7 linked regions of the Coturnix japonica genome follow. The protein of the gene in region 4 purifies or fractionates together with the protein of the main gene of each other region. This does not show direct contact. Links are inferred from orthologs where the notes say so. Each region holds a gene or a part of one and is shown on either strand. Other genes may lie near its edges.

Region 1 (3,859 bases), on a different chromosome or scaffold from region 4:
ATAGAGAACAACCCTCCCATCCCCTCCATCTCCACCCCATGAATAAAACCCAACAAACAACCCATAGCTTTGGGTTGTCCCAAAAGAGCAGAGGGTGCCCAAATCACAGCGCTGCTGGGGCAGCAACAGACAACCAGCCTTCCTTGACCTGCACAGCTTAATGCCACCTCGCTGTTTGTGCTACGTGCATATCGAAGTGCAGCACAGATCTGATCTATTTTCTGGACCTATAGGCTCCCCAGGACCAAGAGATGTTAACTGCAGGACAGGGAGGATAAGACCATTTCCAAGAGGGTTCTCACTGATGAGGCTTAGGCTCAAAACCTTCTCTCTACACCCATACATGGACACAGACATTAGCACACACAGCTGTGTTATGCTCAGGAATAACTGTGGCAGTAAGGAAATTAACTAAATCCTTTCCTTGCAGCCTATTGTATGAAATACAAGCATTTCCCAGAGCAAACACTTTGATTATGAAAGCCAGCATTTCTCCATAACATATTTAAGACCAGAGTGAACGAAATCCATCCAAAGAGCCTAAATCCCAAAGAATGAGAGCTGCCACAAACAGGATCCTGCACTGAGATGCACGTTTATTAAAACAAATCACAGGCTGTACAGAACGAGAATGAAGCTGCTTAGCATGCAGCCCCAGATCTCCTTTATCACAACTGACAGCCACGCACACTCATACTGAGAGGATAAAACTCCAAGTCAAGGTCAGTGCAAGAGGCTCCTAGATATGAGACAGAAAGAACAAAGGGCTTAGTAAGTGTATCAAGAAGTAAATTTTCAATTAGGGGGAAAAAAAAAGAGGTTAAGTGAAGCAGCAAATACTGTAGTCAGACAGATGATGTTCTTGGTCAGAAAATCCCTCGAATAAAGATGGATCTAGACTAAGCTGGGCATGACCTCAATGTTGCTTCATTAGGAAATTCACTGTAGAGACAGCAAACCTGGACACCATCATTCTAGCTAAGCAAAGATCACTGACAGACTGCTGCAGCTACACACTAGCTCACTACATGTACACAGCTTTCAGGGCTCTACCAGCTTCCCCCTCTTATCAGCCACCCAGGTATGGGTTCATTGTCTCCCTTTCTAATCTAGAGCTGGTAGGCAGTCGACAGCTTGTCACAGCGGCCCCTAAAAGGCTGGAGGATTTGAATGGCTGGGGTTACACAAGTGGCAAAGCAGCCCTGTTACATCTCTGGATTCCAGAGCTCCTATTTCTTTCTGCCTCCTCTTTCTTTGAGTGCCAGGTGAATCAGAGAGCCACTTGTCATGTTGTAATAAGCCAGGGAGTTTGAATCCTTGATGAAGATGCCCTGTGGGGAAGACAAAAATAAAGGCAGTCAGGGTACAAACCTTCATGGTCCACTCCCACAAAGCCACACATAGACAAAGCCTTCCTGACACTGCTCTCAAAACAAGGTGATGACAAAAGTGCTTTAGGCTTTGAAAAAGCCTGGAGAGACCCCAGTGTCTCAAAATTGGCACTGGAAGAGGTGGGTATGCTGAGAATTACAGAAGAGCATAAACAGATGATATACAATTGCTGTCTACAAACAGACAGACAGAATCAGTCACGAATGAAGCTACTCAGGTCCCCTCCTCCCCTTTTTCGTTCTTTACAAAATTAGTTAAGCTTTACTTCTTGCTAAGGGTTAACATTATCTGCCCATAGCCTGATTCCAAAGGAGGTAAGAGCTCAAAGTTCACTGCTTAGGCAGCAGGTTGAGCTGTGCACATGCATGACTGAAAACAAGTTACTAATAAGGAGCAGTGCTTTTCTAAAAGCTCCAGACTCGAGAAGTTTCCTTCCTCCACTGCTTCAGAGTTCCCAGGGTTTCAATGTACTCTTGCTCACCTCTTGAGCTCACCACAGAATGACAAAGGTAAGCTGCTGCATTTCAAAACAAAAAGAACCTCCAACCAAGAAGTCCTTCCACAAAACAGGCTGAATTTCAGAGCATACCATCAAGCCTTGAGGCCTCATCCTCAACAGTGACAAAGTGAAGATGCACTGATGCCACTATTAGAAGCATGTCCTGCATCAACAATGCACAGCGATGTAACCAAGTGTGCTGCACAGGCGAAAACATCCATTCCCTCTGCTCTTTTCTGTGTCTTAGTGGTATAACACTTTCTTGAAGAAAGTCCATTTTATTGTGAAAAAGCACTGAAATACAAGCAACGTTGAAGGGCTTGTTACCCACCTCATACTGCAGCTTCTGTTTCCCAGCTGGCATCCCTGTGGCCTCGTGGATCTTAACCTTTATAACGGACACCTAGGAAGAAACAAAAGCCTTGTTCAGACTTTTTCCCCCTATACAGGTGGCCAACATGAAGACCTCCACCACACAACCCTGCCTGGCAAGAAGCCACGGCGTGGCAAAAATGCAGAATTTTACAGCTCCTGTAATGCAGGTCAACCCCTGTTCTCAATGTGGAAACACTCCGTAAGAACACAGCAAGGGGTAAAGACCGGGTTAATAAGCTACATACCTGGTCTGACAGCGGTAGGGTGAACACCAGCACTTGGCCATTCAGCTTCCATTCGGTCTTGTCCTGCATGTTGGGGACCTGGACTTTGACTGTGACTGGGCCCTACGGGAAACAAAGATAAGGTCTTTCACAGGCAAGGAGTCTCAGGACTGCGATAAGAGCAGCAGACAAAGTATTTACAGACCTTCCCAATATTAATCACATATCTTGAAAGTCAGAGTATTTTGCAGTGAACACGGTGGTACTAAAGAGATGGCTTCATAATGCAAACAAATGCACAGGAGAACAGTGCTCCCTTCTTAAAGGGCTTAAGACCCAACCCAACATGATGCTGTTACTCAGAAAGGAATTCAGTCTAACATTTCATTCATGTTACGGAAGATATTACATTGCCATACTACCATGTTGACATTGATATATTAAATCTCCTTGCACCTCCAGCTTAACAGTCTTCTACTTAAAAGCTTATCAGCATTATCTCTTCTTTACATTACTATAACCCTACTTCTCACTGCTGTTAATTACAGAACAGCACCATCTGTGTGCAGCACTACATCGCTCCTTGTAGTAAAATATAGGGCAGTTCAGGTATGACAGTAGGAAGGAGCCATCTCAGCAAGTCACTTTCTTTTGAAATACATCAGCTCCCCTCTGTGTTCTCAATGGACTTTACAACCCCTCTGAGCACAGGAGGCTGAACAGCTCAGCAGGGCCAGGACTCCACTTCTCAACAAGCAGAGAGTTCACTCGCACACATACCTTGTTCCTGCGCAGAAACTCCTCCTCTGGAATCAAGCTGTCCTCGCTCTTCAGTTTCTTTGAAACTGGCTCATCCTCCATAGGTGGTGGTGGGTGAACAGGAGGCATTGGCGCTGGGGAAGGAACTGGAGCCACGGGAGGTGCTGGAACAAATGCTGGAATGGGATGAGGGAAAGCACAACACACAGTCATCCACTGAGCATACAGCAGATACTCCCTTACACGAACTCTTTTAGCAGACTAACAAAGACTGAAAATAAATGTTGCCATTCATGCAAGAAGTTAATATAGCCTGCAGTACCATGCGAACTTCAAACATAAGATCTTCCACAAGGGGAGAGAGTCCAGGAAAAAAAACAACAAGCAGAATGGGAGCTTCCTGCAGATCTTGCAGAAAAGAAAACGCTCTGAATTTAGCAGCCAGCACCTCAATTTAAATAAAAAGGAAAAGGGAAAAAAAAAACCAAGACAGAAGTGTTTTTATGTTGTGCTTAACTTAAAACCACCACAATGCTATGCAGCCACTACAAAGAACAGAGCCAGAGCCAGATAACAGCTTTTCCTCTGGCAGCAGTAACTTCCCTAACAA
Region 2 (2,804 bases), on a different chromosome or scaffold from region 4:
CTCTAGGAACAGAGACACCTTACTCATGAGAATGTGCAACGTAAGCAAGCACGGACAGGGGAAGAGAGGGAGGAGGAGGAAGAAGAGCAGATCAGTGAGAGCGAGAGTGAAGATGAAGAAAATGAAATCATTTATAATCCTAAAAATCTGCCTCTTGGTTGGGATGGCAAGGTAACCGAGACTGTTAGGTCTGGATTTAGCTCTGAACAAGTGGGAGATTCCACTTAATTCAGTGCTTCTCTTCTATTTGAACCTCCTTTGTCACTTGGCCTAATCTTTCTTTGTATTCCTTCTCAGCCAATCCCGTACTGGTTATATAAATTACACGGATTAAACATCAACTACAACTGTGAGATTTGTGGTAACTACACCTACCGAGGGCCCAAAGCTTTTCAACGCCATTTTGCTGTAAGTAATGTTTTGTCACAGGAGCCATCAGTGCCACGTTCAGATAATGTTTATATATCCAGAGCTTATGAAGAGAGCTTAAGGAGCTTATTGGTTCTGCCAATTTCTGTCCGCTCTCCTCTTGTTTGAACACTGATATCCAGGCCTGATTGATGCAGAGCGCAGTCAGTGTCTTGTTACCATCAGAAAAAAAAAGGTGTTTGGGAGATCTGTGTTTTGTTAGTATTTGTTTTACACTGTTTAGATTGCAATATGTCTTATAATAGGCACTGTGGGTGAGTTGGTGTTTCTTCTCAGTGACTTTTTCCTCTCGTTCCCAGGAGTGGCGTCATGCTCATGGAATGAGATGCCTGGGCATCCCCAACACTGCACATTTTGCCAATGTCACACAGATTGAGGATGCTGTCTCACGTAAGTCTTGATGGCATTTCTTTACACAGCACTGGGAATACTACAAAGACAATTGGTATTTACTAACTCTGGCCAAAAATGTATTACCCCATGATTGGTGGCTTATTTAAGGAAGGAGTGTAAGAAGCATGATGCTGCTGGGATTACCCTTCATTGGAACATCTCTCCCAGTTCTTTTGTTTTCTTGCTGAATGCCTACAGAAGTAGATGTTTGCTAGGAATACCAGCCAAGTGTCTTTTTGTTGCCAGCTGTTTTGTCTGCATTGCTTTATGTATGAAATCTCAGCCAAGTGTAGCGGGACACCATTAATTCAGAGCACGACTGAGTGATCCCATGCAACTGGTACTTAATTGTTACTCATCACAGTCTCCATGGGGAAGCCAGCAAAACATTCAGAAATGATGGAGCCTCTAGGGAGATTTTGAAAGCCTGCAGTACATGGGGAAAGGCACAGGAGTGGCAGTGTTTGGGGTTTATTGTATTTATTTATTTTAAAAGCTGATGGATTTTAGTCATTTAAAACCCAGTATTTGAAGGGAAACGGTGCTCATATTGTGAATGACTTTGTATTTACAGTGTGGGCAAAGCTGAAGCTACAGAAGGCTTCAGAGAGGTGGCAGCCTGATACAGAGGTAAGATGATAAAGGCACTGGGATGTTTCTAGTCCAATGTATTTGGGGGCCTTCATCTATCTTGCATGAAGTGGCTCTGGATGGAGAGTTTCTAACACAAGCTGTATCTCAGGCTGAGGTCTCCAGTGCACTTCAGAGCCTTCTGTAATTATTCTGAATCTAGATAAGATCTTCCTGAGCTCACTTCTAGATCCAGTGCATGTCTTCATATAGAGAGGCTCTTGGCAGAGTGGTTGTGCTCAGATGCAAGCAGAGTTTAACTGTGAATGTTGTAGCACAACCTGAGCCAGGCTGCATGCCTCTAAACTGTTCATTCCACTTCAGGAGGAATATGAGGACTCCAGCGGGAATGTGGTGAATAAAAAGACCTACGAAGACTTGAAACGTCAAGGGCTGCTGTAACGTTTCCCAGGTGAAGGATTTCACATCAGGAAAAATAACAGAGGAGCGTCACCAGCTCCAGTTCTTCTCCATTTTATCAATTTCCTTTTTATTTGCATGACCATAGGATACTTTATAGGATCGCTTTCTAGTAAGCCCTTTGTGAAAAGCAGTCTTGTGATGTTATTTTATATTAAAAAACAAAACAAAAAACCTTAAAATAAATGGATTTTTAACTTAGGAAGTGCTGATAATGTGTCTCCTTTTGTATGCTGGAAGGAGGAGGTTTGATGATGGTGTTTTTAGACACTTTCTACATGGTTTGAATTGTTAAAAACAATCAGTTCTTCCATCAGCACTGGAAAAAGAGTTTTTATGATGAGGATTGCCTTCTTTAAAGCACTTATGAACATGCTGACAATACGTAGTAGTCTTGTACTGTATAACAGTTTAATGTCTTTATTTGTGCTCCTTTGCAGATCAGATACTTGGCCTGCATTGCTGCTTTGGTTTCAAGTCTGGCTTTCTATGAGGCTTTGCCTATTGGGATTTTGTTCAGGGAACAAATAAATGAGCTTTGTATAGGATGGGCTGCCGTGTGGGTAGTCTATGTTAGTTTGTCCAGCACTGGGCATTGACTTGATGACCTGGTAGCACAGATCCTTCCTTTGGTTCTCTTGAATCACAGTACTGCCATGTGAATTAATACCCTGTGAGGAGAAAAGAGGCACTGGGCAGAGGCCTTGTGCTTTGTAGCAGCCCTTTCTCTGTCTTTTGCTGCACACAGACATTTGCATCTCCAAATCCAGCAGAGCTGCAGGTAACAAACCCTTCTCCCTGGGTGATGGTTTGCGCAGCTGCTGGTTGGCAGGGTGGGGCTGCTTGCTGGCACCAGGGTATGAGCTGTGCTGCAGCTGCTTGGTGCTCAGAGGCTCTCCATCTCTTGCAGCAGCTGCAGGCTTCTTTTGGGG
Region 3 (2,791 bases), on a different chromosome or scaffold from region 4:
GTAGAAACAAGCCTTCACCACTCGGCCGCCAAAGTATCTTCCATTTAGATCCACAACAGCTATAATTGCAACAAAAAAAGAGGTCAGCAAGCAGCAAATCAGCGACTAAAAATCTGAGTCCAATGAGCGAGACTGTTTAATCTCTTTGAAGAAATGAACTCTGAAATTCATATGACACAGTTTAATAACCTACCTTTAATTGCAGACTCAACCCGTTCAAATTCCAAAAATATTCTTACAGCTTCATCATCAGGGGCACCAGGAATCTGAAAGAAAACCCAAAAACAAAACAAACCCCAGCAGGTCTGATTAGAACAGTAACAAAACCACTGCATCACGCAGCACTTCTTCACAAAAGCAGAATGTAAAATTAAGCCAATGTAATTCAATTCTTCAGTTGCCAAAGGGAGGTTGAAGACTGCTGAACTTGGGTCCTGTTTCTCTATGGAAACCTTTTGAATCAGCTAGGGTGAAAAGTTTCAGTAATCGAAACTTAGAAGCATCTCAAAGTGAAAGATTAATTTAGCAGGAGGAACTAGAAAAAGTTCCAAAACACTCCAGGATTTTGCTATTTCTGACATTCAGAGTTCACGCTTCACAAATATTGGAAACATTGGAATCGCAACACAACAAAGGACCCTTTGAAATCCTTTAATCTATGCTGCTCCTTCACAGCAGTAGTGTGCAAGTCATGAAAGACAAATGGCCAGTTCAACCTTTGGAGTAACCAGAACAAGAGAAAAAGATTCTGTCTTACCTCAAAGATGACACATTTCCCAACCTTGCCATATTTTTCACATTCTTCCTTAGTTTCAACTTCCAGATCTTCATCCACCTCACCAGCACCCACCATATTCTGAAAGTTTAAACAATAAACATAAGTCATTGGATGCAGCCTGAATAGACAATCATGTAGATAAATCACGGATGCATGCAACGGTGACTATGAATAATTTAAGCTATTGTTTACCAGGTCAAGAACCATTTGGTCACATTCCAGAGCCTAGACAGTTCCCTAATACTAAGACACTGTGACATGGTCCCTGCACAATCTAAATCGGTGTTGATTTACAATTACAAATTGTATGTTTTCCTGTGATAGATTTTCTCCACAACACACAGAGCACCATGTAGGTGCAGTTCAGAACTGTCTGAACTGTACAGAGTCACTGTAACAGGAATGCAGGTTTTAGCGCTTAAATCAGTTGTGAGTGCTGGAAATACCAAGACACAGCTTTAATCACAACTTACCCTTAGTAGGACCACTTTAGTTGGGCATTTCAGTATCTCAGTCAGTGGATTAGAATCTGCTTTCTTGGTTGCATCTGCTAGGAAGAGAAAAAAAGTTAATCATGGAATCATTTTAGACTAATGCTCATATGAAGGCTTTTATCAGAATCTTACTGTTAGCAAACAGTGAAATAAAAACCACTAAGTATAGTTTAGTACTGGTGAGGAAGAGTATTTCAGATCTTGCAGCTACTTGGAAGGTCAATATGCAGAAAAATCGCTGCTACAAAGACCATAGACAATGTCTTATTTCCTTGAGGGAAATCATTCATGAGTTGAAAACTGCATCAGATGCACTAAGAATTAAAAAACAGATCTCCTGACTTCCAGCACTTGAGTTCAGAATTGTGCTGTTCTACTAAGTGGAGATGCTGTTTCTAGACCAAACAACAGCAGGGAAATGAAGGCATTATCTAACACACATGATGGGGGAAAAAAGCCAGCAGGAGTGCAGCAGGATCACTCACTGAAGTGAATGTACAGGTAGAAGGTTTCAAACACTAAAGAAGGACAGCTTCAGGGGGAGGATGAGTTAAAATAATAGAAGACCACTTCAATAAAATGTCGTGAAGGTAAGTTCCCACAAGAAGGAGAACCTTGTTCCAACTAAGTAGTATTTTCTGCTAGAACCAAGGGCTAACAGAAATCCAGGATCTCCCACTGACTACAGACTGTTATTTCCCACAATCATTTTTCACAGTTATTGGTGCAGGACAAGATTACCTTTTTCTGTAGCATCACCAACAATGATCTTGCCACCCCTCTTGCTTGTTTTCTCTACAGAGAGTGCTGTGCTCAGCCCCTGTTCATGCTTTCCCAGGCCTTGACCCTCTCTGAAACCATACTTCTGCATGATTTTATGAGCTACTGTCCCTCTGCAAAAAGAAAAAAACCATCAGTTAGTAAAGGTTTCTTACAATAACATCATCATTTCATTTCTCCAGAGCGTGCAAGTACTCAAAAGTTGCTCACACTTTTCCAAACACATTCAAAGTTCTAGTAGCAAAGCAAGTCACACATCATGCCAAAGTTCATTTAGTCCAGTTTCTGACCTTTTGTCAGTGGCTGGCTTCAAAAGTCTGAGAGAAAAGGCAGATGTGGAACCATCTGCTTCCCCCATTAGATCACATTATACTACCTACTGTTTTGATGTCTGCATAAGATCCAAAGCACGTGGTTTTGTTAGCACTTCCTATAACAAACCTGGATATTCTCAGTATTAATTAACATGGCTCTTCTTTCTGGATTTTCAAGAGTTTACTAATGTAACAATTCTCTAATCTATTAAAAGTACCATCTTTGTTGGCATTTCTTTGGAGCACATAGCTGGATAGACCAAGGCATCAAAGAAATGTCATGGTACAGTAATTTACACCACAGTAAATAATGTACACTAAGTCACTTCCATTCTACCAAGAGGCATTTAAGATAACACAGAAAACATTGGATCAGCGACTACATGACACATACAAAGGCCTGGCTTTGTAATGCTTGAAAACTG
Region 4 (4,713 bases):
CCAATTGAATATAGATCTGTAAGCTGCTCAACCTTCTGACTAAAATGTGAGGTTTCATGCAGGTTAACTTTGCAGCTGCTCGCACTGCTAACGTGCACTTGCTTGGGAATTTCTGTATTTCCTGTCATTTTGTCCATTGTCTCTGTGCATGTCCCAGTGTTTACTGATGTGCTGCATAATCACGCTTGACACAGCAGAACAGAGCAGTCAAAAAGTGGAACCAAACTACAGAAGACAAATCCACCCACATCATACACATGCTTCTTACTAGCATGTGATTCCTCCCCACGCTGTTGAGATGAAAACATTTTTATACAGATAGATCTGTGTGAATTTAACAATGCTACAGTCTTAATACTGCAGGATAATTACTGTGAAAAGTCTGAAGCATTATTATGTGCACGTGGACCAAATCAAAGCTATGAAGATTGCATGATGCTATGAAACCAGGAACAAAACTTCCACTGTACACTGCTCTTGATTACCGTCTTGCTTTAATGCAGAGAGCTGCTCTTAGAAGAATAAAAATGAATCTTCTTACAGGTTTCATAACAAACAGCTGCAATAATAAATCAATGCCAGGTATCCTCGATCTCAAGTAAGGGACTGGAAAAGAGCAGTGGATACAAAGCAGTGTTCAAAAACTCTTGTCTTCTCTGCTTTGCTTCTCCAACACTTCTTAGAGTCTCTGGAAATCAGCTACCTGTTAGTTGCAAGCATGATTCCAGCATATTATATTGGTGATGTACTGTAACTGCCTACTAAGTTGCCAGAGGCATTCTTGCTAAGAAACTTGGAATAGTTTGTACAATTCTTCAAGCTCTCATGGACTTTTAAACAAATAACTCCTTTTGTGAATAGAATAGTACTGTACCTCTCTGGGGATTAAGAAAACAAAAGTAATCTAAATAAATCTAGGGGGGAGCCTGAGGAATGAATGTTGCTTCTATTCTGAATCAGCAGACAGACTGAAATCCCACCTGAGGAAAGGATGGCTTTCTGCTTTATTGCATTCAAATTCTTCAAGAATAAATCAGCAGTGCTTAGAGTGACTCTGAGCAAGTATGAGTGCGGCACTGAAGAATTACAGAAGCCATGAATCCTTCCTTATTTTCTGTCAGGTTAAGGTTTTTTGTGTGTATGTTTTCATTAGTTTCTTCTCTATGAGCAGCTTAAAGACTTCAAAAGAAAGTCATTCATATTATGTCACTCCAGAAGACAATCAAATTCCCTTAGCTACCCTGATTTGATAACAAGTAAGTAGTTTTGGACTTTGTAACTAAATTATGAGTCATGTGGACTGTGTTACTGATCAACGCATAAAACACATGCTATACCTTTCTAAAAAACGTTTCAATACATTATTCACGCCTGGATTTCACAGACATGCTTTATGTTAGTCGCTTATAAAACAATAAACAGAGAAAAGTGCCGGGAACTGCTGTCTAACACTATTTAGACTTGCGGTGTGTATCAAATCAAACCACCATCTTGGAGCCCTTCAGGATCCAACCAACAAAGCACCGCGCATGCGCCGCCCGCCATCGCGATTCCGACGCATCGATCGCTCCGGGAGCGGCTCTGCGGCCTGCGTCGTCACGGCGGCCATCTTGGCTGCGCGTGTGCTTTGTCTGCCGGCTGATCGGCGGCCGGCTTGAAGCATGGACATCAGGCCGAACCACACCATCTACATCAACAACATCAATGATAAGATTAAGAAAGAAGGTAGGGGGGTGGGGGGGGGGCAGTCCGCTCATGTCTCGTCCCGTTGCTCTCTGTTGAGAGGCCGTGGTTTGGCTCTGAGGCGGCTGGTTGGCCCTGATGCCGTGCCCTGAGCCTCCATCAATAACTGTTTATCATCATAACTTTTAACTTCAAATGCTCTTCGAGGCCTGCAGGCGTTACTGAGCGGTTTGTGGTGGGTGTCAGCAGCAGCTGTGAGTGGTGCTCATACATAGCCGAGCTGTTTGTCCTTTTGTGTAGTTATTACCTATATAAAGTTAATACAGAGTTAGTACGGTTTCTTCTCTAGCTGAGTATTGCGAAGCCAATACACCTCCCTGCTAAAACTGGGCGAATATGCATTTGTACAGCAGTTCTAAGCTTGTGTAGCTTACTGCTGTGAGGTAAAGGTTGCAAAGATCAACTGAGGGACACCATATTCTCTGTGTGAGTATCTATCTCTGTAGATACAGACGTTTGCGTGCAACCCATTATAGTCTTTTTGTGTTTTTTCTTTCTTGTTAACAGAATTGAAGAGGTCCTTATATGCATTATTCTCACAGTTTGGTCATGTGGTTGACATTGTGGCTTTGAAGACTATGAAAATGAGAGGACAGGCTTTTGTTATATTTAAAGAACTAGGATCATCTACCAATGCTCTGAGACAGCTGCAAGGCTTTCCATTTTATGGGAAACCGATGGTAAGTTATTTTCTTCCTTCTCTGTGGAAAATAACATTACTGTGGTGTGTTGCAGTGTTTTGGTACTTGTGCCTTGGGAATTAACTGTTAGATGTACTTGCAATTGTGCTATTACGCAGTAATGTCCTGTCTTGACAAATATATGTATTTATACAAGCTTGAGGCGCACTGGAGAGACAGTAATTGAAACACACAGTGAATTGAAACACACTTGCAGCCTGTTTGGGTAACTGGGCATCTCCTAATTTGGGAGGCTTATATGTGCAAACGGTCCACTTCAGTGATCTGTGGGTACACTAATACTTTCAGCTCGTGTCTTTGGGCGATAAGGAGAGCTATACTGTTGTTTTGTTGAGGCACACACTTCTTTCATGAATGCTCTCAGATTATCTAACAGTTCCTGGTGTATGGGAAACTGTTGATCACAGCCTGAACCTCTGATTAACCACCTGAGGCAAGCAATGAATCAGCTGTGGGAGCACAGATGAAGGTAATTCAGCTGTGCTGCCAGAAGCATGTGAAGCTTGGCTTCACCTCTCCCGGATCTCATTTAAGGGCTGACTACTACTAAGGCAAGGTCTCTTTCTCTGGAGATCACTCCTTTGACCCTTCAACATCAGTGAGCATTTTCTATTTATCACAGATTATCTTTCTATCACAATAATCTTTCATACCAAACACCTGTTTAACCTCTGTTTACCTATTGACTGTATAATTAACTGTATAATTGTATAACTGTATGCTAAGCAACTGTGCAAGCTTAGTTCTGTCACTTACCCTTAAAGGCCTTTGTGTTCAGTAAAATGCAGTAGAGAATTAAAGTGCATTAAGGCATTATAAGCATTCAGGTGCATTTCCCTCTTTGAATACTGACTGCAGGATGCATCCTATGTCTAGAAATGGACAAAGGATAAAAAATAAATTCAGCTGGTGGAGTAGTCTTCAATAAGTGATAGGATTGTAAAAGTATACACATGTGTATATATACGTGTGTAATGCTGTGCCCTTATATACTCGTAGCTCCATCATTTGTCTTTCACTTGGGCACTTTCAGGAAGCTCTTGTCAGAAGAATAGCATAGTTGTGCTGCTGATACAACCTATGCGGTCTGGGTTGAATTGAGGCAAGTGTTTATTCTGTTTGTTTATTCTGACTTTTACTGAACTCAGTTTTCTGCAGAGATCTGAGATCACTGGAACCTTATCAGCTCCACCCCCCAGGCTCAGATGCTTTATCCCCCTAGGTTTTTTTTTTTAGTAGCAGCTGGTGCCAATTTTGTTAACTGATGTTATATAGCTTTGTACATCTGCTACCTTGACAGACACGGTAAAGATGCTGTTAGCTGATTAGAGTGCCGATTCCAATGAGGGTCATAAAATTAGTAATCTCTTCTCATGAGAGGTCTATCCTGGTTTTTAAAAGTTCTTTAGTTGCGATCAGAATTAATCACAGAATTACAGAATGACCCGGGTTGGAAGGGACCTCAAGGATCATGTAGTTCTATCCCCCCTGCCTAGCATAATTAGGCATAATTAGCATGTTACGTACTCTGTAAAAATATAATTTAAAACAGTGTTGCTACAAATGTATTGTGTGAATGAAAGAGAATGCGTTCAGTGAAGTTGGTGTGAGATTTTCAGTATAACAAACAGTACAATTTTGTTGTTTTTTTCCTTTTGAAAGCGTATTCAGTATGCCAAAACAGACTCTGATATCATCTCTAAAATGCGCGGTACTTTTGCTGACAAGGAGAAGAGGAAGGAAAAGAAGAAGGCCAAGTCTCTGGAACAGTCAGCTAATGCAGCAAATAAAAAGATAATTCAGGTAAGGGACTTCTGTATTTCCAAAAAGAAGGGAAAAAGCAATTCAAACCGTACACCCTCTTTTTTGGTAATGTAATGTTTTGGATCTTTTTAGGACTAAGTACTTTAAGTTCTTTCAATTGTTGTCTCTACATTTGTAGTGTTCTTTAGCACTCATGAAAGCTGCAGGATGGAGTATGATTGCATAGTCTTTAATGCATTTTATTTTATTGTTTTTATTTTTAATGCTTTTTTTTTTTCCTCGTTCCTGTTGTAAGATGAAAACTAAGGTACAGAGCAAAGGTACAATAAACCAATGTAGAAAGTAACAATATGTATATGTTCATATATGTAGAATGGTAGATGGGTAGAACATTGTGATCCATTTGCAGTTAGATGAGAAGGAGCTGGCATGGAATGTATCTCCTGTAATGGTTGGCCTGGCCTAGGCTAACAATATTTAGCAGTTGATTTGCAAAGACAGGAGG
Region 5 (4,041 bases), on a different chromosome or scaffold from region 4:
TTGATCCTGCTGTTAAAGAGCGCATTTGGCTCACTGTCCACTGGCCTTGTGGTCGTCCTACAGAAATTGTATCCAGCTCTTTTGGGTAAGTAGGAGACAAAGCAAGTAAAATTAATTGTACATTAATTCATTGATATTTAAAGAACAACTGGCAGGAAACACTGACACCCCCATCTTCCTCCCTTCCTAGTATAGCAAGATAGAGGACAGGCTAAGAGTGTAGGGGAAGTTCAGTCTTCTAGAAGGCTGTTATTTGCCCCACAATTCATTTAATAATCTAACTGAATACTGACTGCTAATGGTACTATTTGTGGTTTTTGCCCATTTAATGGAAGCAGTTGACATTTCCACTTCCAATGTGATTAGGAATGGATATCTGTAGGGTAGTTTTATCTCTGTAGAGGGACGTGTAGTGCATGTGTGTCTATCTGTATTACTCTCACACTTGCAGTATGTGCGTGAGCGCTGATATGATTTTTTTGAAGTGAAGAATGAAATATACACACTTTACGTTTCACAGAGGAGAACTGCTACACTGGGATTTAACTCAACCTGGAAAACGCAAGTGGACACTAATGGGATCTTCAGAAGGGCAAAATCACTCCCGTATTGTGTTCAATTTGTGTTCCCTGAAGCATCAAGACAAAGAGCTGCTTCTTTCCATTTCAATGGACAGAGATGTAAGAACCCATTTTAAAATTAACATCAAAATAGCAGCGGCAGTTCAGTTTGACTGAGTGAAACTAGCACTTTGATGACCACACATTTTCTCCTAAAGCAGGCTTATCCCTGCCCTTTATAACATCATGGCTCAACATTTCTTCTGAGCACAAGTTGTGCATTTCTTTGTTAGCATGTAAGCTCAAGCTTTTACCTTGGAGGACAGAATGGTTATGCCCTCTGGACTTGAAAAATCAAACGTTTAATAGCTGCCTTTTTTGTGGGGGGAGGAAGGGTTGTTATGGTTTGGTTTTGATTTTTACAGGCAGCACAGTGCCTCCTATTTTGAATTTAGAAGAGGACCATATAATTAAACCATAGCCCTGTTCCATCGCAGTCTTGCAGTTAATACAGCTCTGTCTTTGACTCATACTGACACGTGCATACTCTGAGTCTTCCTCTCACTTGTGCTTTGTTTTTCCCCCCCCATCATACCAGTCACTTTATCATTCGTTGTTCCTTAAATATTCTTTAGATAAAGTGCTGGGACCTATCAACTCTAGATTGTAGCTGGACAATGCCTTCACTTGGGGGATTTGTCTACAGTCTCGCCTTCTCCCCTGTGGACCCAGGCTGTCTTGCCATTGGTGTTGGAGACAGCATGATCCGCGTTTGGAATACTTTGTCTATGAGCAACATCTATGATGTGAAAACCTACTGGCAAAGCATAAAATCCAAGGTTACAGCAGTAAGTGTGCTTTACATTCCCCTTTTTTCTTGTCTCTTTTCTCACTCCATTTTTCTCTTTGAGGAATGTTTTTCTCTCACACTGAAGAAGGTTTTTTCCTAACTAAATCCTATAATGCCGAGTTGTTACTTCTGCTCTCAATTTGCATGATATAAATTTTAGAATTGATCAGCATTTTAGACATTTTTAGAACAGTAGGTATTTACAGTACACATACTGAAAATCAGCTGAAGTTTAGGTGGTTATTGCCTCACTTTCTTGGTTTTGTAAACAACTGTGATCATTCCTTGTGTCATCCACAGTTTCCTTTTGTTTGCTAGGAAGTTTAACATGTAGAAAAACTGGCACTGATGCCTTCAGTTTGAATTTGAACAGCAATTGGCTAAATACTAACATCTAGTAAACGATGGCAGCATTACAACATGTTAGTTGATCACACCAAAAGTATGACTCTATGTTGTAATGTAGCAGTCAGGTAGCATTTCAATGATTTCAGTTCCTTTCCTCTTGTCCCAGTAACTGTTAAGGGAAGAGTCCTTGATTCACATCACAATGTGGTTAAATTGAGTTGCTGTAGTTAGCATGGTGAATATAAGGGACAGTGCTTTTGATTTCAGTGCTTAACCTGTTGTTTATTATTTAAAAATAAATTGTCAATTCCTTTTGTCATTATGGGGCTCTTTGTACTTTTCTTGCAGTTAGCATGGCATCCAACTAAAGAAGGTTGTTTGGCTTTTGGAACAGAGGATGGAAAGGTTGGCATATTTGATGCCTTATCCAGCAGGTAAGAAAGTAGTTTTCAGATTCATTAGTATTCGATCTTGCTGGTATGGCAGCACACATAGATGACGTGGTCTTTCCTGAGGTTTACATTTGATATTTGTTAAAAGTTAAATTTAAAGTAGTCAGATGTATTTTAAGTGTATCTTTTCATCTGTTCCTTGTGACTGGCAGCTCTTAAAGAAACCTTACTCAAATTGTGTAACAGTCACCTGTTGGAAGTCATCAGTCAAGGATGAGTTAAGCCAGAAAAAGTTCCATAAAATGAGCAACATGCAGATGCAATTCATTAGGACAGTTTTGTTCTGATTTTAGTAGTGTTCTACAGGAAGCATCAAAGGCTTGGCTGAGCCATTGCTTTAGTATTTTGAAGCACCTGTCGTCTGTTTTCACTACTGGAAATACATTAGTTTGAATTTTGGGTTTTTTTTTTTTTTTGCTTGTTTTGGATTTGGTTTAGTTTCAGTTTGGTTTTGTTAGGGGTTTTATTCTGTATTTCCCCTTGCTGCAATCAGACTACTCCTGTTTCCTTACCTTCCTGCACAGTGCTAAGAATAAGCCCCCACAGATCTCCAGTACTTACCACAAGAAGACTGTATACACATTAGCCTGGGGACCTCCAACTCCTCCACTATCTTCTGGTGAGTGTTATAATGTCTTGTTACAAAGTAGAAATCCATACAGAGCACACAGATGCCACAAAGTTGGTGTGCTTCCCTTCCTTATGGATGTGAGCTCCATCTGCTTGGTAGCAGTCCTTTCTATCCACTAAGGATGCGTTCTGCCTGAGAAACTGGTAACAGTTTTGCCAAGGGAGCAAAATAATCTGTTCTGTATTTTGAAAGGTTCGGGAAGTGGATGGGAGTAGAGCACAACACCACATAGTTACATGTTTGTAATGCGCTGAAATAGCTATGTAGGCTCTCCACAATAATTGGTTAGGATCAAGTACAGATTATTTAGCTCTAACTGTTTTTCTGTCATTAAAACTAAACAGAACAGCTCCATTTGTCTTTTATGCAACCTGGGGGGGTTTATTGGCCAGGATTTAAAGGGAGTTTTAATGTGTGCAGCAATTGTGCTATGGAGAATGAATGAGGGGTCCTTTTAGGGAATTGTATTTTGAGAATTTCTTGCTGCCAGATCTCAGAGAATCAAAGCATACATACAGCATTTTAAAATACTGTTTTGATTTATAGTAAGAATAATTGCTTTTCCTAAGACTGACGAAGAGCATAGTATACTTAGATTTTTTTTTCCTCTGTTGAGTAGGAGAAGAAGGTGAACATCCCTCTGTAACTTTATATAGTTGTGCTGGAGAAGGTATTGTTTTTCAACACAACCCTTGGAAACTTAGTGGAGAGGCAAATGACATCAACAAAACCATCAGAGACACTAATTCAATTAAAGTGAGTATGATTCTTGCCTTTTTCTATGGATTTGTGGTTATAGTTCTGTAGCCCATAGTTGTAGGCTTTTGAAGTTTCTTGGAACATGCAGAACTTACTAAGGAGCATAAGGAGGTGGAACAACAAGGTCCTTTTGGAATCAAGACATTTCATTTGACACGTTCCACTGCGCTGGATGTAGCCAGTGATTCTTCCATCATCTTGCAGTTCATTCAGTCCTCAATTGCCCAAACTTATGTCACTACTACAAAATGCAGCAGACACTTGGGTGGCTTTTGTTTTGCAGACTAATTGTAATTCCTAGTTGCCAGTTGTGTTCTGTTGATGTATTCAAGAGAGACCTAAGAGTTTGTGTGATGGCTGGTAATAGCTGCATCTTCTCTCCACAGCACAAACTACCTGCACATACAGAGATCAGCTGGAAACCAGATGGTAAACTCTTGG
Region 6 (4,692 bases), on a different chromosome or scaffold from region 4:
CACTACATAAAGGTCAGTACAGTATTACTTCAGCCCTAGGAAGATCCAAACAGCAAAACATGACAGGATTTTGTTTCCTATTTATTAAATAAAATGCCACAATGCCTTCAGCCAAAGTTCCTGAGGGTATCTACTGAAATGCAGCTGCTGTGGGGCACAGACACTGACACAATATGCATGGAGATAAAGAAGCCATGTCTTGTACTGAAGGCCAAAATGAAACAGAGGGGAAAAAAACTGAGTTATACATCCAGTGGGTGACTTGTGAGCAATAGTATATTGCTCTGCCATAATAGAGATGGCAGAGCACAATAAAAGGGAAAGAGAGACTGAAGCAATGCCACCATCTCCCATATGACTACAGTAAGAACTGACAGAGACTGAGACGTACTGATCTATTATTAAAATGGCTCTCACTCGACTGTCAGCAATAAAGAGACAACCCATGGGTAATTTAAACAATAAAGGACATCAGGAGATAAGCCCATATCTTATTTATGGATAGCTCTGCTAAAAAGGCTGATGAACAATTCATGCCCACAGCACTGCACTTCAAGCAAGCTCCAGCAGCCACGGGGTATCTGCTATGACAGGCACTGCTGACAAACCTTTGTAACCTGGTCGTCCAATTTTCACAAACTTCTTCACTTCCACTTTGACTTTTTCTGGTGCAGGTTGGGCAGGAGCTTCCTTTGCTTCCTTGGCAGCTCGACGAGCCCTGGGTTCATTGGAAACGCGCAGTGTTAAATGGTTATCAGCACTTGGTTCTGAAGGATACTCTAAAAGGCAGAGTGAGTTCTGTATGACGGAGCATTCAGCACTTCACAGAAAGCATAATGGGAAACTGCTGCTCCTCCTCCACAAGCACCATGGGAGGCCAGTTCCACTCCTTGCCTTGACTACAATCTGTCACCTCCATCACCTCACCCACTCCTAAGAGGACTTTGATGTCCAGCTCCACAGATGGAGCTGAGATGACTTCTTAAAAGTCAAAAAGGAAATGAATTACACAAGCCAGGTATCTAAAGCAGAGCAAACCTGAATTCTTAGATTAAAGCTTACAAACTTTTCTCAAGCTGTATTCATAAAACAGCTTCCCTTACAGTTATACTTAATCTAAATGCCATAGCTGGCTTTGAAGTGGAGCTTGTCAGCACCACTGTTCAGAGCAGAGCTGGTGAATGCCTAGGAAACAAACAGAGACAAAGAGCATTCAAGCCCAGAGTGCTACTACATGATGGAGGCCAAGATTTATAGGTGCTCATTATCTAATTTTAATGTGCCCAAGTAATGGAGAATAACACGGTGGAGAATGACTTACAGATTGGTCTGATGCTTCTTCCCCTGCGTATGTGCCAGGTAACTTCCCTGGGGGGAAAAGAAAGTTATGAAGACTGAACTGTTCCTGAACAGAAAGATATTTGTCACAGATGAGAGGTGACATTTCACACTGACAAAGATATTTTAATCCTCAGAGCACAGCAGAATCAAACTCACAAATTTCAGATTGCTCACAACTGCTGAACTGTCAGAAACTTGTCATGCTTAACACACACAGCCTCTGCTCCCCCCATTGGCCCTCCAGCAATCAGCCAACGGGAACAGCTTCGGTTCCAGCACTTGGAGCTAGAATTAGTCTAAAATATCTGCTGCCATGGAGATCAAGACAGACAGCTGCTCAACTCACCTCATTGTTATGGAGCGTCAGGCAAAGCTTGCATTCATAAGAACCCAAGTGATTTTTCATAAAATAGGGGTCCTAGGAAGAGAAGGATTGAAAAGTTACATGTAAAATCTGCATTGGAACAACTGAACAACCGAGATTCTAAAGCAGAGCTGCACTGTAAGAACTCTATGAGCTCATGGAGTGAAGGGATCAGCACAACACTGCTTTAGGAATATAGAGAAAAAGGAACAAGAGCAGTTGTGTTCACTGGTAACAGCACACCCAACTGCAGCATAATAAGAACCAGTGCCAAGACTGAACATAACAGAAGCCCAGTGCTGGTATCCCTCTGCTTGGCCCTTCCACATGTTGCTCGAGTCCCTCATCAGTGGGAACAGAAGTATTTATTCCACTCCACAGATCCCCACTAAACCTCTCACTCTCTGCTGAGATGAAGCCCTGACCTCACCCCATGTAGCCTGCAGGACTGGGGCTCACCTTGTTGATGTCAATGGTCTCCAAAGCCAGTTGCCGAAGCCTCTCCCTGCGGTCTCGGTTGCTTTCTGAGGCTGAAGCTACGCCTCCACTCCCCGTTTTACCTCCAGGACGGTGCTGAAAATCCATGGTGGGGATTTCTGGGCTTTGGAGACTTCAGGAGAAAAATAAAATAAAAGTCTGGAAAAATGAAGAAAAGACACATAAGTGACAACACAGCCCTAAGCTGGGCCTCGCATTGAGCCCTGCCACGAGGACACGGCCCAGGCACTGCCATTACCTCAGCAAGAGACAAAACCACCCCCAGCCCACCTCTACCCTCTCACACAGGGTCACACACCCCCCAGCCACTAACATGGGGGTCACAACCCCCCAGACACCCCCTCACCCCCCTCTAAACACCCCCATTCCCTCAGCGAGCACCAAAGCTCACCTCAAAGCCCCCTACAAACACCCCCCGAACTCTCCATGCCACTTATAGCCCCCCAGTTTCCTTTTGGAGGGTCCTGTCCCTCCACTAAGAACCCCTCTAAGCCCCCTCACCCCCCTCATTCTCCAGTGCAGGTCACAGGCTCCATAGGTTCCATAGGCCCCACAGGCTCCATAGGTTCCATAGGCCCCACAGGCTCCATAGGTTCCATAGGCCCCACAGGCTCCATAGGCCCCACAGGCTCCATAGGCCCCACAGGCTCCAAATAGGCCCATATGCCACAGCCTCTATAGGCCCCATAGGCTGCACATGCCCCATAGGCCCCACAGCCTCCACAGCCCCCACAGGTTCCATAGGCCTCACAGGCCCCACAGGTTCCATAAGCTCCATAGGCCCCACAGGCTCTATAGGCCCCACAGGCCCTTATTCCCTTAGCGACGGTCACTGCCCCGAAACAATCCCCCACAGGGCCCAAGACCCCCCTCCAGACCACCCCATCCCCTCAATGAGGGTCTCACTCCCCCATATCCCCCCTTTAAGCCCCACATCCCCTCCCCCTAAATCCCCCATACCGCCGTGCTCAGCCCCGCTCCCGGCGCATGCGCTCTGCCCTCCCCCTTCCATCCCCTCTAGTTCCGGATAGAGCACTACCGGGTCGGGTATGGGTGGTTGTAGGGTTGGGGTGGTTGTAGGGTTAGGGGTGGTTTGTAGGGTTGGGGTGGTCGTTTGGGGTCCGACATGAGGTACAACGAACGGGAGCTTGCTGTCCTGTCCAGGCAACCGGCAGAGAAAGCGGCAGAGATCCATGATGAGGGTCCCCAAGAAGGGGCAGCGGTAGAGGGGGGGGTGGGAAGGGGGTGAGGGTGGAAGATGGGGGGGTTAATTGGGGGTGGGAATGGGGAGTGATGGATTGAGGTGTGGGATGGGGGTAATGGGGTGGGGGTGGGATGGGGTGGGGTAATGGGATGGAAACTGGGGGTATTGGGATGGGGCTGTTGGAATTGGGGGTGCTGGGGCAAGAGCTGGGGTGTTGGGATGGGGGTTGTTGGATAGAGCTGGAGGTGTTGGGATGGTGGTAAGGGATGGAATTGGGGTAATTGGGATGGGGGTATTGGGAATGGAACTGGGGTATTGGATGGGGTATTGGCATAGAGCCTGGGGGTGTTGGGATGGGGGTATTGGGATGGAACTGGGGGTATTAGGATGGGGCTGTTGGAATGGGGGTGCTGGGGCAGAGCTGGGGTTTTGTTTGGGATGGGGTATTGGGATGGGGGTATTGGATATGAGCTGGGGGTGGGATGGGGATGGGGGTGTTGGGGTGATAGGATGATGGGATGGGGGTAATGGGATGGAACTGGGGTTATTGGGATGGGGGTAATGGGATGGGGGTATTGGGATAATGCTGGGGGTGTTGGGGTGGGGACAGGAGTATTGGGATGGGGGTAATGGGATGGAACTGGGGGTATTGGGATGGGGGTGTTGGGATAGAGCTGGGGGTGTTGGGATGGTGGTAATGGGATGGAATTGGGGGTATTGGGATGGGAGTACTGGGTCAGAGCTGGGGGTGCTGGGATTGGGGTATTAGGATGGAGCTGGAGGTGCTGGGATGGGAGTATTGGGATGGAAGCACAGGGATCAGAACGGTGTACTGGGATAGGAGCGCTGGGATGACAATGGAAGTCCTGGGGTGGAAGCACTGGGATGGAAATGGAGATGCTGGGAGTGCTGGGATGGTTTGGGGGCCCCACACACGCTGGGCTCGCTGTCACATCACTCCTTTCCTTCTTCAGTGTTAAAGAAGCGCCTCGTGAAGCTCGTGGTGAACTTTCTCTTCTACTTCAGGACGGATGAAGCTGAGGTTCGGATCCTGCTGCTCCTCACACACACACAGATACACACACGCACCTTTTTGCTTCACGTTTATCACGTGTGCTCTGTGGATCAGTGCAACACGGCGTCCTCCCTTCCCCCTGCACAGTTCAGGCTCCTCGGTGGGGGTGAGGAGAAGCAGTGCCAGCAAACCACACCCTGCTGCTTTCTACAAACACAACCATCGCCCTACAGCAGCAAAAGCTGGACTCTGTCTCGTGTAGTTACAGAC
Region 7 (4,818 bases), on a different chromosome or scaffold from region 4:
ATAATTGTGATGTGTACCACCTTTGGCTGTTCTTACTCTGAGCGTTCTTGCTCTTTTAGATCTGCAAATTCACATTTGCAATAGTTCCTAATATGCAAGTTTGCTGGTACACATCAATGGTCTTCTATAGAAGATTTCATCCAGCTATCAAAATACCTCAATTCTGACTTGCTATCTGCTCCTCCAGCTCTATATTCTCTATAACCCTCCCTTCCAGAGCAGCGAGCTGCTCTACATCTGAACCTACAGATGAGACTAGAGCACGAAAAATACCTATTAGGAATCAATATGAATTGGTCTATTTAACTGATAAACTGCCAAACAAGTTCTTTGGTCCCACAGACAAGACAACAAAACTACTGCTTGTCACAGCACTTCTAGATGTAGAAGGCAGTACCACCAACAGCATTTCTATCCACATATAATACTTAGATACTAAGAAAGATGGTGCTCCCGCCAGATCTACTGACTAAATTCAGACACGGGCTTGCCCTGCAAGACCTCTAGAGAAAATATGGGTGCTGCAGAAAATTAAAGCAGCAGCTCAGTCAGCTAAGTACATTCCTCTAAATCAGAGCTGTTTGTCAGCACACTCTGCTGACATCAGGGTGTGCTGGAGATGGTGTTTGCAAAGGATCCAGCCCCAAAACCACACAGCCGATACTCTCCATTGGGTCCATACTCTGACACACTGCAACCGCAAGCATCACGTTCTTGCATTTCCCTACAGTCTTTCTACTACTTCATTGGCAGTTCTTCATGACTTGCCCTCACTATGATGGATATTATTGAATACCTAGAGAGCGAGCATCTGCCTTGTCAAAGGACGAAGGACACTAAGGGCTAATTTTACTGTAACACAAAAGTAAACATGGGTGGTGATTCTGTAGGCCTTATGGTACCATATATGCCAGTGGCATGATCATACCATGTATGGTATGATCACGGACACAGTAAGAAGCTGATCCTGCCACTGCCTTTGCAACGTCTAAAGTGTCTCTGCTGCTGATAAAACTTTGGCTGAGAGATTTAGTAAGATAACAGCTGAAAGTGGTAACAAGCAGAGCGTGGAGGAAGTGAACTGTGAGTATGCATCGTAAAGCACACAAGGATCCTATGGGATACAGAATCGAGGCACTGCTCGCTACCTCAAAGTGCTCCACAAACACTGGGAACCACCGACAGAAAAAGAAACATGCAAGGAAATGAAAACCAGTGCCAGTTCTGGGAGAGGAACCCAAGCATCCAATGTCCTAACATTAATATCACTTGCTCTAAGTCCCTTTAAAGATAAGCATAGCTATTAAACAAAGACATAAGCAATTCTACAGGAGACTGGATGACAACGTACATCTTTTTCCTGGATGGTGCACTCCTTGCAGTAGTAGGCATCAGACACCCCTGGGCCCCCGCAGATGACGCAGCGCCCTTGGTACGAGCCGTAGTTACACTCATCACATATGCGCACCAGGGTGCAGGGCCGCACGTACGAGTCACAGATCACACATTTGCCATCACCTGCAAGTACAGCAGTCTTTGGTTACAGAACGTCCTTTTCTCCACCCCACATAAAAGAGGAAAAGTCTGCTGGACAAAGAACTTGCCTGTATGCTCAAAGACAACGCAGTTAGACTGCAGAACTTTAGCTTACAGGCACAAGGTGCAACTTTATATTTACACAGACTTCAGAGGAACGAGGGCCAACAGCCAGCCATATCCAAGGCCAAAAAAAGGGCAAACCGGCATAAATTGCCACTTCACAGAGTTGCTCTTGCTTTCTCACAAGGGACTGAGAGAAATACAAGTGCTCTTATCATACAGGCAAACAGCCATCAGATGCCATGGACAGTCTCTGCTCTGCGGGCCCCGATCCAAAACTCTGACCTCCAGATGAAAGGCTTCAGATCTTATTACCAGTTCCCAAGGTATTTAATCCTGACTCTCACAAACAGCTCATTTAACCTGCTCTTCAATCTCAGTCCCAACTGCCCTCAGCTACTACCACTGGGAATCCATTTAACTTCTGTGTACTTCTGAAAACAGTTCAGTTGCTTCAGACTGTGCTTCTCCTCACTTCGCTTGTTTTTAACATTTTTTGGAGCCTAGAAATAGCTGGCTTACTTGTACTGAGCTCCTGCAAGGATCTAATGACCAATTGTGCTTATTCTTTTCTGCTATAGGTGAGCACGAGCACAGAATTATAGGGGTTGGAAGGGATCTCCAGGAATCAAGTCCAACACTTTGGCCAAAGCAGGTTCCTTGCAGTAGGTTGCATAGATATTTGTTTTTGCATATTCATCTGCTGTAGCACTTTTTTCCATCCATTTCCCATTCTAACAGATGCTGAAGGGAAGCTGTGCGGTCTTTTTCTCGCACTTGCTCCATACACTCAGGCCAACACACAGGTCACTCCTCCCAGCCCAAGCTGCAGTTACCTGCTATTTCTATTTGGTTGTGACCCCAAGTCAGCAGCAGAGCAAAAAGAGAAACCGAGCTGCAGGCACTTACCACAGAGTTGGGTTCTCAAACAACTACACGCAGAAGATGTACTTACATTTCTCACAAAGCCTTCCAATTGCTGTAAGGGGAAAAAGAATGCGAAAAAACACATATTACTTGAGGCTACATTTAGAACGCAAATACAAGCGACGCCTGTCCTCAGGGCACACCCACCCGGCCCACAGTCCCTCCGCACGGTGTCCGGCCAACGGCTCCCACCGGCCATAAGGAAACCCGCACTCAGCGCCGCATCGCGATCCCCAACCACATCCCTGCGGCCTCGGGGAGCGCCACGAACCCCGAGCTCAGAGGGCCGAGGGAAGAACGAGGAGCTGCGCGAGGGGCCTGACGGGCACCTAACGGGCACCTAACGGGCTCGAACTGCCGCCCGAGCCCACCGTCAAGGTGCGGAGGGCCACGACCGCGCCGGTACTCACCGACGCCCGCCTGCTTGCGGCAGAAGATGAGATCCGGATGGTGCTTGGCCATGGCGCCGGCGACACTTCTCGGTGCTCTGCCGCCGTGTCCCGGTCCTGTCAGGGGTGTGGAGAGCGTCCGACAAAGCGGCGCTCCGGGAGGGGACACCGACCCGTAACCGAGCTCCGCATGGTGCTTCAAACCCAATCCGCCTCGCTGCTCCCTTCAACGCGGGGAACGCCCGTACCCCCGCCATGGGAACGCCGCTCTCTCCTCCGGTACCTCCCTGCCAGGACCCGCTGGACCCCGCCCCCTTCAGCCTCCTCCCGCGCCAGAGGTATCAAAAGGGCGGACTGACGCCATCGGGGCGCGACTTCATCTTTGTCAGTGCACAAAATGGCGCCGTACTGCGTCCTGGCGGCTCGGCTGCGGGTGAGCGCCGCGGGACGGGCGGGGCCGGGCGAGGCCGGGCTGGGCGGTGGGGTGAGGGCCGCTGCAATCCTGGACGGAGGGCAGAGGGAGCGCGGGGCGGCGGGCGGAGGCGTGGGGCCGGGTCTCCGCTGTCTGCGCGTGTAGGTCAGCGCGTCCCCGGCGCGGCCCGACGCCCGTTTCCATGGCGATGGCGGGGCCGCACCGGCGGAGGCGGCTCGGCCGCCTGATGGGCCTCGGTGTCGGGCGGGTCCCGCCGCCTCCGGGCACCGCTGAGCCTCAAGGTGAGCGCAAGGTGACCGCGCCCGGGTAGGCCGAGATATCGCGCCTGGGGCCGTGCTTCCTCCTTCCGCGGGCTCCTCCTCATCTCGTGCCGTTAGCAGCCTGTGCCCTTGGCTGCCCGGCTCCAGGACTGCGGCCTTTCATGTGGATGGGAGTTCCTAGATCTGTTTGTTAAAGGGGCCGTGCAAGGCCAGGCGGCCACATCAATTATCTTTTTATTATTATTATTTTATTTTCCAAATGGCTTGAATCTACCTTCATAATGACTCTCCCAGTCTTCTCCATTGTGACCTCTAAAACCCACGTCTGCTTGTGCCCATCACGGGCACTACAGTACTAAGGGCATTATCCCGTTTACTATCTACTCACTAATAAACACTTGATTGTTTTTTAAAGCCTAGAAGGCAGTAGAATGCCATTTTCTCATGTAGTGCTGCTTGCTGTGCTGCCCTCAGTACGTGCCACATGGTGAAGCTGAGAGCTCGGACTGCTCCATTTGCCAGCTGTGACCTTGGGGAGGGTGTTCCCTCTACCCAGGGAGCTGCAGCAATAACCTTATCAGAGAGTCACAGAATAGCTCAGCTTGGAAGGGACACGTGAAGGATCGTTGAGTGAGGTGCTTTGAAAGCACTTTGTGAAGAAGGCAGTGGGCGTAATACCAAGCTTGCCAGAGTTCAAGAAGTGTTTGGACAATGCTTTCACACATAGGGCCGGCTTTTTGGGTGGTACCACGTGGAGCCAGGAGTTGGGTTTGATGATCTTTATGGATCTCTTTCTACTCAAGATATTCAGTGATTCTATGGTTCTTACTCACATTTTATGTTATTACTTTGTTGCTCTCGGTGCAGATGTCTTAGAAAAGGACTGTTTTTTAAAGTAAAACTTACAACATGGCATCATTGCAGTTATCTCAGTGTATTCATCGTTGACTGTTAAATAATTGCTACTTTGCACTTTGAAGAGAAACAACTACTGATAAAACATAAGCAAATATTTTATTAGGATAATGGGTTGTTTCTCCTTTTATGGTATGTGCAGTCACGTCAGGTCAAGTGGGTGTGTACTTAAGTGGATATGTGTCAGCACAGCAAATGCATGAAGTTTAGACCTTTGGGAGTATTATATTATTAGATTCAAAGTAGGCTTTTTTTTCAGTTTAAGGGACTGTTACCAATCATTCTGGCTGGTTGC

Evidence for each region.
Region 1: the proteins of SNRPB2 (region 4) and SF3A1 purify together in Homo sapiens (affinity purification with mass spectrometry; 5 studies listed by BioGRID and IntAct, with this or other methods). This does not show direct contact. The link is inferred for Coturnix japonica from reciprocal best matches to the Homo sapiens genes SNRPB2 and SF3A1.
Region 2: the proteins of SNRPB2 (region 4) and SF3A3 purify together in Homo sapiens (affinity purification with mass spectrometry; 6 studies listed by BioGRID and IntAct, with this or other methods). This does not show direct contact. The link is inferred for Coturnix japonica from reciprocal best matches to the Homo sapiens genes SNRPB2 and SF3A3.
Region 3: the proteins of SNRPB2 (region 4) and RBM17 purify together in Homo sapiens (affinity purification with mass spectrometry; 3 studies listed by BioGRID and IntAct, with this or other methods). This does not show direct contact. The link is inferred for Coturnix japonica from reciprocal best matches to the Homo sapiens genes SNRPB2 and RBM17.
Region 5: the proteins of SNRPB2 (region 4) and GEMIN5 purify together in Homo sapiens (co-immunoprecipitation; 3 studies listed by BioGRID and IntAct, with this or other methods). This does not show direct contact. The link is inferred for Coturnix japonica from reciprocal best matches to the Homo sapiens genes SNRPB2 and GEMIN5.
Region 6: the proteins of SNRPB2 (region 4) and SF3A2 purify together in Homo sapiens (affinity purification with mass spectrometry; 6 studies listed by BioGRID and IntAct, with this or other methods). This does not show direct contact. The link is inferred for Coturnix japonica from reciprocal best matches to the Homo sapiens genes SNRPB2 and SF3A2.
Region 7: the proteins of SNRPB2 (region 4) and PHF5A purify together in Homo sapiens (affinity purification with mass spectrometry; 4 studies listed by BioGRID and IntAct, with this or other methods). This does not show direct contact. The link is inferred for Coturnix japonica from reciprocal best matches to the Homo sapiens genes SNRPB2 and PHF5A.

What each region holds. Positions count from the first base shown.
Region 1 is NC_029530.1:9,667,041-9,670,899, reverse strand, and holds the end of SF3A1 (splicing factor 3A subunit 1), read right to left. Parts: intron 3,426-3,859; coding exon 3,271-3,425; intron 2,614-3,270; coding exon 2,512-2,613; intron 2,295-2,511; coding exon 2,223-2,294; intron 1,332-2,222; coding exon 1,230-1,331; 3' UTR 577-1,229; downstream 1-576. UniProt on the Homo sapiens protein: Component of the 17S U2 SnRNP complex of the spliceosome, a large ribonucleoprotein complex that removes introns from transcribed pre-mRNAs.
Region 2 is NC_029538.1:3,130,197-3,133,000, forward strand, and holds the end of SF3A3 (splicing factor 3A subunit 3), read left to right. Parts: intron 1-6; coding exon 7-171; intron 172-297; coding exon 298-408; intron 409-728; coding exon 729-819; intron 820-1,396; coding exon 1,397-1,452; intron 1,453-1,776; coding exon 1,777-1,854; 3' UTR 1,855-2,074; downstream 2,075-2,804. UniProt on the Homo sapiens protein: Component of the 17S U2 SnRNP complex of the spliceosome, a large ribonucleoprotein complex that removes introns from transcribed pre-mRNAs.
Region 3 is NC_029516.1:3,129,636-3,132,426, reverse strand, and holds part of RBM17 (splicing factor 45), read right to left. Parts: intron 2,166-2,791; coding exon 2,014-2,165; intron 1,329-2,013; coding exon 1,252-1,328; intron 857-1,251; coding exon 758-856; intron 267-757; coding exon 194-266; intron 60-193; coding exon 1-59. UniProt on the Homo sapiens protein: Splice factor that binds to the single-stranded 3'AG at the exon/intron border and promotes its utilization in the second catalytic step. Involved in the regulation of alternative splicing and the utilization of cryptic splice sites.
Region 4 is NC_029518.1:2,368,498-2,373,210, reverse strand, and holds the start of SNRPB2 (U2 small nuclear ribonucleoprotein B''), read left to right. Parts: upstream 1-1,568; 5' UTR 1,569-1,661; coding exon 1,662-1,725; intron 1,726-2,250; coding exon 2,251-2,423; intron 2,424-4,106; coding exon 4,107-4,247; intron 4,248-4,713. UniProt on the Homo sapiens protein: Involved in pre-mRNA splicing as component of the spliceosome. Associated with sn-RNP U2, where it contributes to the binding of stem loop IV of U2 snRNA.
Region 5 is NC_029528.1:6,015,539-6,019,579, reverse strand, and holds part of GEMIN5 (gem-associated protein 5), read left to right. Parts: coding exon 1-85; intron 86-520; coding exon 521-680; intron 681-1,195; coding exon 1,196-1,408; intron 1,409-2,106; coding exon 2,107-2,192; intron 2,193-2,604; exon of another isoform or gene 2,605-2,734; coding exon 2,735-2,829; exon of another isoform or gene 2,830-3,460; coding exon 3,461-3,597; exon of another isoform or gene 3,598-3,986; coding exon 3,987-4,041. UniProt on the Homo sapiens protein: The SMN complex catalyzes the assembly of small nuclear ribonucleoproteins (snRNPs), the building blocks of the spliceosome, and thereby plays an important role in the splicing of cellular pre-mRNAs.
Region 6 is NC_029543.1:1,224,195-1,228,886, forward strand, and holds the start of SF3A2 (splicing factor 3A subunit 2), read right to left. Parts: upstream 3,221-4,692; 5' UTR 3,164-3,220; intron 2,342-3,163; 5' UTR 2,291-2,341; coding exon 2,165-2,290; intron 1,760-2,164; coding exon 1,688-1,759; intron 1,369-1,687; coding exon 1,322-1,368; intron 719-1,321; coding exon 609-718; intron 1-608. UniProt on the Homo sapiens protein: Component of the 17S U2 SnRNP complex of the spliceosome, a large ribonucleoprotein complex that removes introns from transcribed pre-mRNAs.
Region 7 is NC_029516.1:45,262,858-45,267,675, reverse strand, and holds the start of PHF5A (PHD finger-like domain-containing protein 5A), read right to left. Parts: upstream 3,146-4,818; 5' UTR 2,989-3,145; coding exon 2,937-2,988; intron 2,821-2,936; exon of another isoform or gene 2,726-2,820; coding exon of another isoform or gene 2,674-2,725; intron 2,579-2,673; coding exon 2,555-2,578; intron 1,519-2,554; coding exon 1,352-1,518; intron 1-1,351. Other genes in the region: ACO2 (aconitate hydratase, mitochondrial), read left to right, coding at 3,313-3,348.